Linked DNA regions of Saccharomyces cerevisiae S288C. The gene in region 1 interacts genetically with each later gene. Each region holds a gene or a part of one and is shown in the gene's direction. Other genes may lie near its edges.

Region 1 (3,469 bases):
CCCTCTCCGGCTAACCCGGTGAGAACCCACGGGCCCAATGCCGTCGTAAGTGACGCATCTATCGTCGCATTAAAGTGAATAACTGTAAAACCCTGGAATAGTATTTCGTTCAGGGTTCGTGTTAGTTCCAAGCTATTGACGACTTCCATGTCGTCATTTTCTAGATCAAATTGAAGCTTCATCTGCGTATTTCCTGTGTCCTCATCGTGCAGAATGTGCGATGAAGAGTTGATCCATTGCTTCATGGGTAAGTTTAAGAAATTGATGTCGTTATGGTACAGATCGATCTGTCCCCGAATGGTATCGATGCGAACTCGGTCTTGCTGGTGCGTCTCGTAGAAGGATAGATCAAAGAATCCTAAAAATGTCCCCACAAGACTGAGCTTTTTGCGCGCTGCCCACCGTAGCTGAAGATCGTTGATCTGAAACTCTTGAATCAATTCACTGGAGTTAAACGTAGCATTGGTAGTAATGGGAATAAACGATGCTTCTTGGAAAATATCCTCCAGCATGTCTGCTGGAATCAATGAGTTATTATCTATACCATCTTCAAGGACATGGCCTCTTGCTGCGAACGTAACAGTCTCGTTCTGGTTCAGGACCGCATTCACTATTTGGCTCATTGGTGTAAGACTATTTTGAGGACATTCTTGGTATAGTAGTTCATCGGGCAGAGGACCTTCAATTTCATTTTGTAAACAGACGACGATATTATCCTTGTCGTGGTGCAGATTAATCGGTTCGTTAAAGCAAGACAAGGTTGGAATTGCGATAGCAGGCTCACCGTTACAGTCCGGTAGCTTGATTTCCCAATTGATGAAAGGGATTGACGTGCCTGGCGGAAGGTGAAGCCAGTCCACCCCTCCAAGAATCGTGATCGGATTCAGTCTCATATCGGCATGAAATCCATCAGAACTGGAGTCCCGCAATGTAAATCCTTGAAGAGATATTCCATCGATCATATTTTGAATCATCCGAAGGGGCGTTGCCGATATTTTTTCCCAATCAATAATATCTTTCCAATCTAAGATTTCGTCATTAAGTTTCAATAAATTAAACCTCGTGCCAAATTTTCTCTTGAAGATAGTCATATCTAAATTCGATTTTATATTTAAGGATTCAAAATCCCTATTCCAAAATTTTTTCAAAACTTTTACGATTTTCCAAATAGACGGTTTAACTAAAATTTTGAACTGTAGGTTATTAATCTGTCGGTGAGCCAAATTAAAACAAATGGGTTCCATGCCAACAACATCTCCCAGTTTATTCTTGAACACTAGATCTCCATCGAATGTGGTCACGTTATTCAGATCTATACAAATGGTTTTAAGAACTTTTTCATTGATGTACCGTATCCAGTCACGTTGGCTTCTGGCGTCCGAGTCATTTTCCGTTCCTGGCCATTTGTCATAATCGAACCAAATTTGAGAGTGTATAGACACCTGCAAATACTTACCTGTATCATTGTTCAGGTCAGAGCCCATATTATCTTTCCAACCATCAAGCTGAAACTCCACCAGTTTGAAATTTGTTACTTGAACTAGATTCTTTTCTATCACATCTGTGGGCGGCACATGTCCCCTAATATACTGCACTATGCTGACGCCAAAGAAACTTAATAAAACAATACCTAGCAGATATATAATTAAGCACTTTATACTCCGCCAACGAGATTTAATAAGGGTCTCATTTGCAACGTTGATTCTCACTTCATCATTGAGGAGTTGGCTTTCTTCAGTGTTTGGTCTCAACAGTGGTTGAGTTTCTAGATCTTGGTTATCCGCTCGTAAGGGTGAGTTAGTGTGCATCTTAAAAGGTTCAAGGAGTAATGCACTACACTAAGCAATAAAAAATCCCAAAAACAGGAGGATCTTGTGTCTTCTTCCCCTAGACAGTTCATCTTTTTGATTCTGGGCTTCGCATTTACCTTTAGAGAAAATTAAATAACCCCATGCATGCGATTCTAAAAAAAAGTTAACTAAGCGATGGGATGAAATTTTTTTCTGGTGGTTGTTAGCAAAGTAAAAACGAACAGGATATAGAGTGAATAAAGGACAGTGAGAAAAATGCTTTATTTGATCGGACTTGGTCTCTCGTACAAATCAGACATTACCGTTCGTGGTTTGGAAGCTATTAAGAAATGTTCTAGAGTTTATCTAGAACACTATACCAGTATCCTAATGGCTGCAAGCCAAGAAGAGTTAGAATCTTACTATGGTAAAGAGATCATCTTGGCTGATAGGGAATTAGTTGAGACTGGTTCTAAGCAGATCCTAAATAACGCCGATAAGGAAGACGTTGCTTTCTTGGTCGTGGGCGATCCATTTGGTGCCACCACACACACAGATTTAGTTCTCAGAGCTAAACGTGAGGCAATTCCCGTCGAAATTATTCATAATGCGTCCGTTATGAATGCAGTTGGGGCATGTGGCCTACAACTATACAATTTCGGTCAAACCGTTTCCATGGTTTTCTTTACCGATAATTGGAGACCAGACTCATGGTACGACAAGATCTGGGAAAATAGAAAAATTGGCCTTCATACTTTAGTGTTATTGGACATCAAAGTTAAGGAACAAAGCATTGAAAATATGGCCCGTGGCAGACTAATCTACGAACCACCAAGATACATGTCTATCGCTCAATGTTGTGAACAATTATTAGAAATTGAAGAGAAAAGAGGTACAAAGGCATACACTCCTGATACTCCAGCAGTCGCAATTAGTAGATTAGGCTCGAGCTCCCAAAGCTTTAAGTCTGGTACCATAAGTGAGTTAGCCAATTACGATTCAGGAGAGCCACTTCATTCGCTTGTCATCCTCGGCAGACAATGTCATGAATTGGAGCTGGAATACCTGCTAGAGTTTGCCGACGACAAAGAAAAGTTTGGGAAAGATGTGGCAAATGACCAAGAGTACTTCAAACCTGCGGCATGGGTCCCACCCACAGAAGACGACAGCGACGAGTAAAGGTAATGCACACGCTCATGTGTAGTTTCTTTTTTATAATGTATATTGAATAGATCCTTTCAGTCGGGTAACAATTCGATCCCAAACGAATCGGGCCCTAACGATATGTGTAAAAATGGCAATGAATGAACAAGAAGTTATAACAACAATTTCAGCCAAGAACAAGAGCGATCCTGGAGGAGATTATATACGGATACACAGGTACACAAGATGACGCAATTAAAATATTTGTTGCTGGTTTCTAGGCAAGGAAAAATCAGATTAAAGAAATGGTACACGGCAATGTCCGCTGGTGAAAAGGCAAAAATTGTGAAAGACTTGACACCTACGATATTAGCAAGAAAACCCAAAATGTGTAACATCATCGAGTATAATGACCACAAAGTAGTATACAAGCGATATGCTAGTCTATATTTTATTGTTGGGATGACGCCCGATGTTGACAATGAACTGCTGACCTTGGAAATTATCCATCGGTTTGTCGAAACAATGGACACATA
Region 2 (3,912 bases), on another chromosome or scaffold:
TAGGTTTAGTTCATAAACGGGTTTATAAACATGACCGCAAAACTGATGTCGACCGAAAAAATCATGGAGGAACTATCGACATCAGTTATCCTACGACAGAAGTGGTTGGCCATGGTTCATTTGGTGTTGTAGTCACGACTGTAATAATTGAGACCAATCAAAAAGTTGCCATAAAGAAAGTACTACAAGATAGAAGATATAAAAATAGGGAGCTCGAAACTATGAAGATGTTGTGCCATCCAAATACTGTGGGTCTACAGTACTACTTTTACGAAAAGGACGAAGAAGATGAAGTATACCTCAATCTGGTTTTGGACTACATGCCTCAGTCGTTATACCAAAGGCTTCGTCATTTTGTTAATTTGAAAATGCAGATGCCGCGTGTTGAAATTAAATTCTATGCATACCAACTATTCAAAGCTTTAAACTATTTGCATAACGTTCCTCGAATCTGTCACAGAGATATAAAACCGCAAAACCTACTGGTGGATCCGACAACTTTTTCTTTCAAGATTTGCGATTTTGGCAGTGCCAAATGCTTGAAACCGGATCAGCCTAATGTGTCTTACATCTGTTCAAGGTACTATAGGGCTCCCGAACTCATGTTTGGTGCCACTAATTACTCAAACCAGGTCGACGTGTGGTCAAGCGCTTGTGTCATTGCTGAGTTGCTTTTGGGCAAGCCCTTGTTCTCTGGTGAAAGCGGTATAGATCAGTTGGTGGAAATTATTAAGATAATGGGCATACCCACAAAGGATGAAATTTCAGGAATGAACCCAAATTATGAAGACCATGTTTTCCCCAATATCAAGCCCATTACTTTGGCTGAAATATTCAAAGCCGAAGATCCCGATACTCTTGACTTGTTAACAAAAACTCTGAAGTATCACCCTTGCGAAAGATTGGTACCTCTACAATGTCTATTATCAAGCTATTTTGACGAAACCAAACGTTGTGATACCGACACTTACGTAAAAGCACAAAACCTGCGTATATTTGACTTCGACGTGGAAACTGAGTTGGGCCATGTTCCACTTGTGGAACGGCCCGCCATTGAAGAACGGTTGAAACATTTTGTTTCTGCACCTTCATCGTCTTTGTGATATATCTCATCCTTCAAATTTCTTAGTCTATTGTATCATTACTATTACATAATATGCATTTGTCTTCTGCACACAGATACACAGCGTATGCAGTTAACCTAACGTATAACGACCGTCCTCTTTCCTTCATTTAATTTCACTTGCTGCTTTTCTAGGCAGCGGTCGCCCAAATTTTCACCGGCCACAAGCGTATGACTGCATATGCAGAACCTTGGCAACTGTAAGAACTCCTATGTTTCTTTATTGCAAACAGTTGCTAAAAGCACTCACATAGAAGAAAAATTGATGAAACTTGCGATGCATTGAACAAATTTCCCTTTCTTCATACTTTACGGCATAGTAATCTTTGAACCTTTTGGTAAGCACCAAATTCGTAATTCATTATCGATATTGTGTAGAAAAGAGTAAAATATAATAAAACGAAAAAAAAAAGGTTTGAAAGAACATAACTACTAAAACGCACCGTCGTCATTCTGAAGATGAATTCTAGCTATACACAGAGATATGCACTGCCGAAGTGTATAGCAATATCAGATTATCTTTTCCATCGGCTCAACCAGCTGAACATACATACCATATTTGGACTCTCCGGAGAATTTAGCATGCCGTTGCTGGATAAACTATACAACATTCCGAACTTACGATGGGCCGGTAATTCTAATGAGTTAAATGCTGCCTACGCAGCAGATGGATACTCACGACTAAAAGGCTTGGGATGTCTCATAACAACCTTTGGTGTAGGCGAATTATCGGCAATCAATGGCGTGGCCGGATCTTACGCTGAACATGTAGGAATACTTCACATAGTGGGTATGCCGCCAACAAGTGCACAAACGAAACAACTACTACTGCATCATACTCTGGGCAATGGTGATTTCACGGTATTTCATAGAATAGCCAGTGATGTAGCATGCTATACAACATTGATTATTGACTCTGAATTATGTGCCGACGAAGTCGATAAGTGCATCAAAAAGGCTTGGATAGAACAGAGGCCAGTATACATGGGCATGCCTGTCAACCAGGTAAATCTCCCGATTGAATCAGCAAGGCTTAATACACCTCTGGATTTACAATTGCATAAAAACGACCCAGACGTAGAGAAAGAAGTTATTTCTCGAATATTGAGTTTTATATACAAAAGCCAGAATCCGGCAATCATCGTAGATGCATGTACTAGTCGACAGAATTTAATCGAGGAGACTAAAGAGCTTTGTAATAGGCTTAAATTTCCAGTTTTTGTTACACCTATGGGTAAGGGTACAGTAAACGAAACAGACCCGCAATTTGGGGGCGTATTCACGGGCTCGATATCAGCCCCAGAAGTAAGAGAAGTAGTTGATTTTGCCGATTTTATCATCGTCATTGGTTGCATGCTCTCCGAATTCAGCACGTCAACTTTCCACTTCCAATATAAAACTAAGAATTGTGCGCTACTATATTCTACATCTGTGAAATTGAAAAATGCCACATATCCTGACTTGAGCATTAAATTACTACTACAGAAAATATTAGCAAATCTTGATGAATCTAAACTGTCTTACCAACCAAGCGAACAACCCAGTATGATGGTTCCAAGACCTTACCCAGCAGGAAATGTCCTCTTGAGACAAGAATGGGTCTGGAATGAAATATCCCATTGGTTCCAACCAGGTGACATAATCATAACAGAAACTGGTGCTTCTGCATTTGGAGTTAACCAGACCAGATTTCCGGTAAATACACTAGGTATTTCGCAAGCTCTTTGGGGATCTGTCGGATATACAATGGGGGCGTGTCTTGGGGCAGAATTTGCTGTTCAAGAGATAAACAAGGATAAATTCCCCGCAACTAAACATAGAGTTATTCTGTTTATGGGTGACGGTGCTTTCCAATTGACAGTTCAAGAATTATCCACAATTGTTAAGTGGGGATTGACACCTTATATTTTTGTGATGAATAACCAAGGTTACTCTGTGGACAGGTTTTTGCATCACAGGTCAGATGCTAGTTATTACGATATCCAACCTTGGAACTACTTGGGATTATTGCGAGTATTTGGTTGCACGAACTACGAAACGAAAAAAATTATTACTGTTGGAGAATTCAGATCCATGATCAGTGACCCAAACTTTGCGACCAATGACAAAATTCGGATGATAGAGATTATGCTACCACCAAGGGATGTTCCACAGGCTCTGCTTGACAGGTGGGTGGTAGAAAAAGAACAGAGCAAACAAGTGCAAGAGGAGAACGAAAATTCTAGCGCAGTAAATACGCCAACTCCAGAATTCCAACCACTTCTAAAAAAAAATCAAGTTGGATACTGATCTGATCTCTCCGCCCTACTACCAGGGACCCTCATGATTACCGCTCGAATGCGACGTTTCCTGCCTCATAAAACTGGCTTGAAAATATTTATTCGCTGAACAGTAGCCTAGCTTATAAAAATTTCATTTAATTAATGTAATATGAAAACTCACATGCCTTCTGTTTCTAAAATTGTCACAGCAAGAAATAACATTACCATACGTGATCTTATTAAACTCTAGTATCTTGTCTAATACTTCATTTAAAAGAAGCCTTAACCCTGTAGCCTCATCTATGTCTGCTACATATCGTGAGGTACGAATATCGTAAGATGATACCACGCAACTTTGTAATGATTTTTTTTTTTTCATTTTTTAAAGAATGCCTTTACATGGTATTTGAAAAAAATATCTTTATAAAGTTTGCGATCTCTTCTGTTCTGAATAATTTTTAGTAAAAGAAATCAAAAGAATAAAGAAATAGTCCGCTTTGTCCAATACAACAGCTTAAACCGATTATC
Region 3 (3,242 bases), on another chromosome or scaffold:
AATGTTTGTGGAATCATTACTATCATCGTCATCATTATCATGTGTTATTTCATATGTTTCTTTTATGTTAATTGGGACATCCTCAGGAGCCTCTATATTGTCCAATTCCCAGATTCTAATTTGAGATTTATTCTTACTAGCTATCAACAACCATTTATTTTTGAAGTCTATATTAATGATATCACTAGACGAAAACGGCTGTTCTGAGTCTTGTAATAGGTCCACATCTGAGATCAAAGATGCGCTAGAAATAGAGAACAATTTCAAATGGAAACTCTTTTCAATAACAAGGAGTTTGGACGTCGAAACCCAGAAAAATTTCATAATGTCGCTATCTTGCCCTAAAGATATTTTCTTTAAGAGTTTGGAATTCAAGTTTGCGTCCACTTGGTGTATTTCTAACGATTTGGTGTCTGCATCATAAAGTGCCATACAGTCCCCGTAGGAGCTGATAATGTCGACTTTCGACAATTCCGAGTGTATCTTGGATATTGTTTCATTATTTTCACGCTTGTTGGCTGTGCTAAACAAAGATTTCACTTTGGTTGGTGATGGTGACTCTGAAGGACCTTGCTTTGGATTGGGTTTGGTGTCCAAGAGGGCATTATTTAAAATATCCATCCCATTTGTCTTCGCACTGCCCTCTTCCTTGGGAGTATTCACGTTCAGTTTCTCTAAATCGTGCAATTCAGAACCCGCTTCTCTGCTATTTAATGACTCTAACTGATTGACCGTGTTAGGGCCTTTCAACAAATAAATTATTTCCTTCACATTTTCTTGAACAGCTAGCTTAGACTGCAGTAATGAATCAGGCACATGTTTTTCTTCCTTTTCACCTTCAGGAGAAACAGCTTTCGATTGTATTTGATTCAATTGATGCTTCAAATCTCTATTTTCGCCCTCTAGTTCTGCAATTCTTGCTTTCATTTCCGACCTTTCTAGCTCCCAGGTGATTCTATCTCTTTCATTCTTCGTGAACTCCGTTTGCAAGTAGTGCATTACACCAGGTAACGTGTAATGCGGATGAACATGTGCCTGGTTAATAGCCATATTGTTTTCCGGTCTAACTACACGCACTTACTTCTTTTGGGTTTCTTTATTAATGTTGTTGCTTGCTCCTCACATTTAGTCGTTCTAGGTGGCTTTTATCTAAGATTACGCGACGGGGAAGATCGCAAAGTTAAGACCAATAGAGTACTATACCATATCCCAACAAAGAAGCCTAGGGGATGGTGCAGCAGTAAAAACTGAATAGACTATAATAGATCATCCTACGTAAAACCCGAATAGGTTATCTCTTAAACCTTGTTTTCCTGTAAAGTTGTCCCGCGCATGTGAAGACGCAGAGAGTGGAGATCAATCTTAAAACAACTGAAGCAACTAGCACTTTCTTGACATTTAATAAGGAACTATTATCGCGTAAACCAAAAGAAACGCATGTAAAACATCTGCAAGTTACTCCATCATCTGACACCTAGAGACGTACGTATCAGAACGATTTGAGTGGAGGGGTACAAAAAGGGACTCTGTAGATCAAAAACTGTAATATTATCCTTTTTTTTACTTTCTGAGAAGCTATTCGAAAACAAGGAGATAGAACTACAAGCAGTTATGAAGGACCTAAATCCAGAAATGGGGAAATTTGCTACCACTAAAGGCCCTCCTCAAGACAATAGAGGCATGGTTGATATAGCGACACTGCCTAATTTTCCTGCCAACCGTAGTGGGACTCCTCGTGAGGAGATGTATCTGGCGCCCAACAAGATGGAAACTCCAAGGATACTTAATATGAATATGGTACCGGATTATTTGCAAAAAGAGAACTTCTCGCCAGATTTTTCTTCTGCTACCGTATCTGCCAAGTCATCTCCTGTCAACGTTACTCATGATGAGTCGCTTCCTCTGGGAACTATTGAATCGAATAGCACAAAGGATTCTAAATATGCAGTTCAACGGCAACAGCAACAAGTGGTAGATTTCATAGAGAATAATATGCAGCTACTGTCTTCAGAAACACTAAATTTTAGATCAGACATTATGAAAACTTTGGAGCTTCCCATTCCCAAGAGAAGAGATATTAAGGGAAACCATCTATCTAAACTATTATTTGCTAAATCACCTCTAACTATCAACACATATTGCCAATTTTATGACCGTAGAACCAAGCGAATTTGCAATCAAGAAATGATATGGAAAGATAAGAACAGTAGAGAGAAGCATGGTTCTAGAAAGTATCAAAGACATTTGAGTAAAGTTCACGATGTCCAGCTAACACCAAATAATTTTACCGAATTTTTTGATCATAATTCTCCACTTTTCCAGGAATGCTATGACTATCAATCTAGATTGATGCGTGATTTACTTGTTGAACCAGATGCCAAATTCAAAGAGAAGAAAAAGAAGAAAAAAGGGGACGTCAACGGAAATCATCCTGAAACCGGATCGAGCCTCATCAACCACCAGGTCCAACAGCAAAATGTTCGAGAACTTCAATCGAAAATAGCCATGAACGACTTGATAGAGATTCTTATCGATTTAAACATTCCGTTTTCTGTTTTAGACTACCAACCAATGAGAAATTGGCTCATCAAATATTCAATAATTTCAACAGATACTTTGCCGGATGAAGTATACTTCAAAACTGATCCAGGCGTGAATGAACTGGAACACAACAGTAGTAATTTAAACAATAGCAATAGCGGTACTCCTCATAATCATAATCAAAACCAACATACCAATTAATTAAAACTTGCTTTTAATCTGCATACATAAAACTTAGATCAAATAAATAAAAAAAAAAGTAAAACAACCATATATACTATTTCATAAGCAAAAGTAATCAAATTAAACAAAAAAAAGAAAATACAAATATTAAATTTAAATTAAGGCAATAAACATATATTATACACATAAAAAGAATAATTAAAGCGCAGATGAGAACTATCTTAATTATCAAAATTCTGTAGTATCCCACTCAACTGTTCAATATCTTAGCCGCACCATTTCTTCGTTATCTAGGCTCACTAGCAATTATTTTTTCTCTTGATTACTAATTGCATCCTGATCGTCTTCGATCGAAGAACCCTGTGAAAAGCCACTAAATGTATGTTCCAAACTATCAGGGCTAACTCCCAATGATTTATTGTTTCCTGCTTTCTGTGAAACCGAGATTTCTTTTGAATGCTCCGCTGATTTACAATCATTAGCGTCTTCTTTTCCACTTGATTTATTTCCGATCGAAA

What was found.
Region 2: mutations in DPH5 (region 1) and THI3 together harm fitness more than expected from each alone (negative genetic interaction), as found in Saccharomyces cerevisiae (2 studies listed by BioGRID).
Region 3: mutations in DPH5 (region 1) and RSF1 together harm fitness more than expected from each alone (negative genetic interaction), as found in Saccharomyces cerevisiae (2 studies listed by BioGRID).

What each region holds. Positions count from the first base shown.
Region 1 is NC_001144.5:500,760-504,228, reverse strand, and holds DPH5 (diphthine synthase), read left to right. Parts: upstream 1-2,066; coding exon 2,067-2,969; downstream 2,970-3,469. Other genes in the region: TAG1 (Tag1p), read right to left, coding at 1-1,808; APS1 (Aps1p), read left to right, coding at 3,180-3,469. UniProt on the Saccharomyces cerevisiae protein: S-adenosyl-L-methionine-dependent methyltransferase that catalyzes four methylations of the modified target histidine residue in translation elongation factor 2 (EF-2), to form an intermediate called diphthine methyl ester.
Region 2 is NC_001136.10:310,142-314,053, reverse strand, and holds THI3 (branched-chain-2-oxoacid decarboxylase THI3), read left to right. Parts: upstream 1-1,582; coding exon 1,583-3,412; downstream 3,413-3,912. Other genes in the region: putative serine/threonine protein kinase MRK1, read left to right, coding at 10-1,103. UniProt on the Saccharomyces cerevisiae protein: One of five 2-oxo acid decarboxylases (PDC1, PDC5, PDC6, ARO10, and THI3) involved in amino acid catabolism.
Region 3 is NC_001145.3:329,182-332,423, forward strand, and holds RSF1 (Rsf1p), read left to right. Parts: upstream 1-1,611; coding exon 1,612-2,742; downstream 2,743-3,242. Other genes in the region: FAR8 (Far8p), read right to left, coding at 1-1,050; EIS1 (Eis1p), read right to left, coding at 3,031-3,242. UniProt on the Saccharomyces cerevisiae protein: Mitochondrial and nuclear transcriptional activator required for respiratory growth.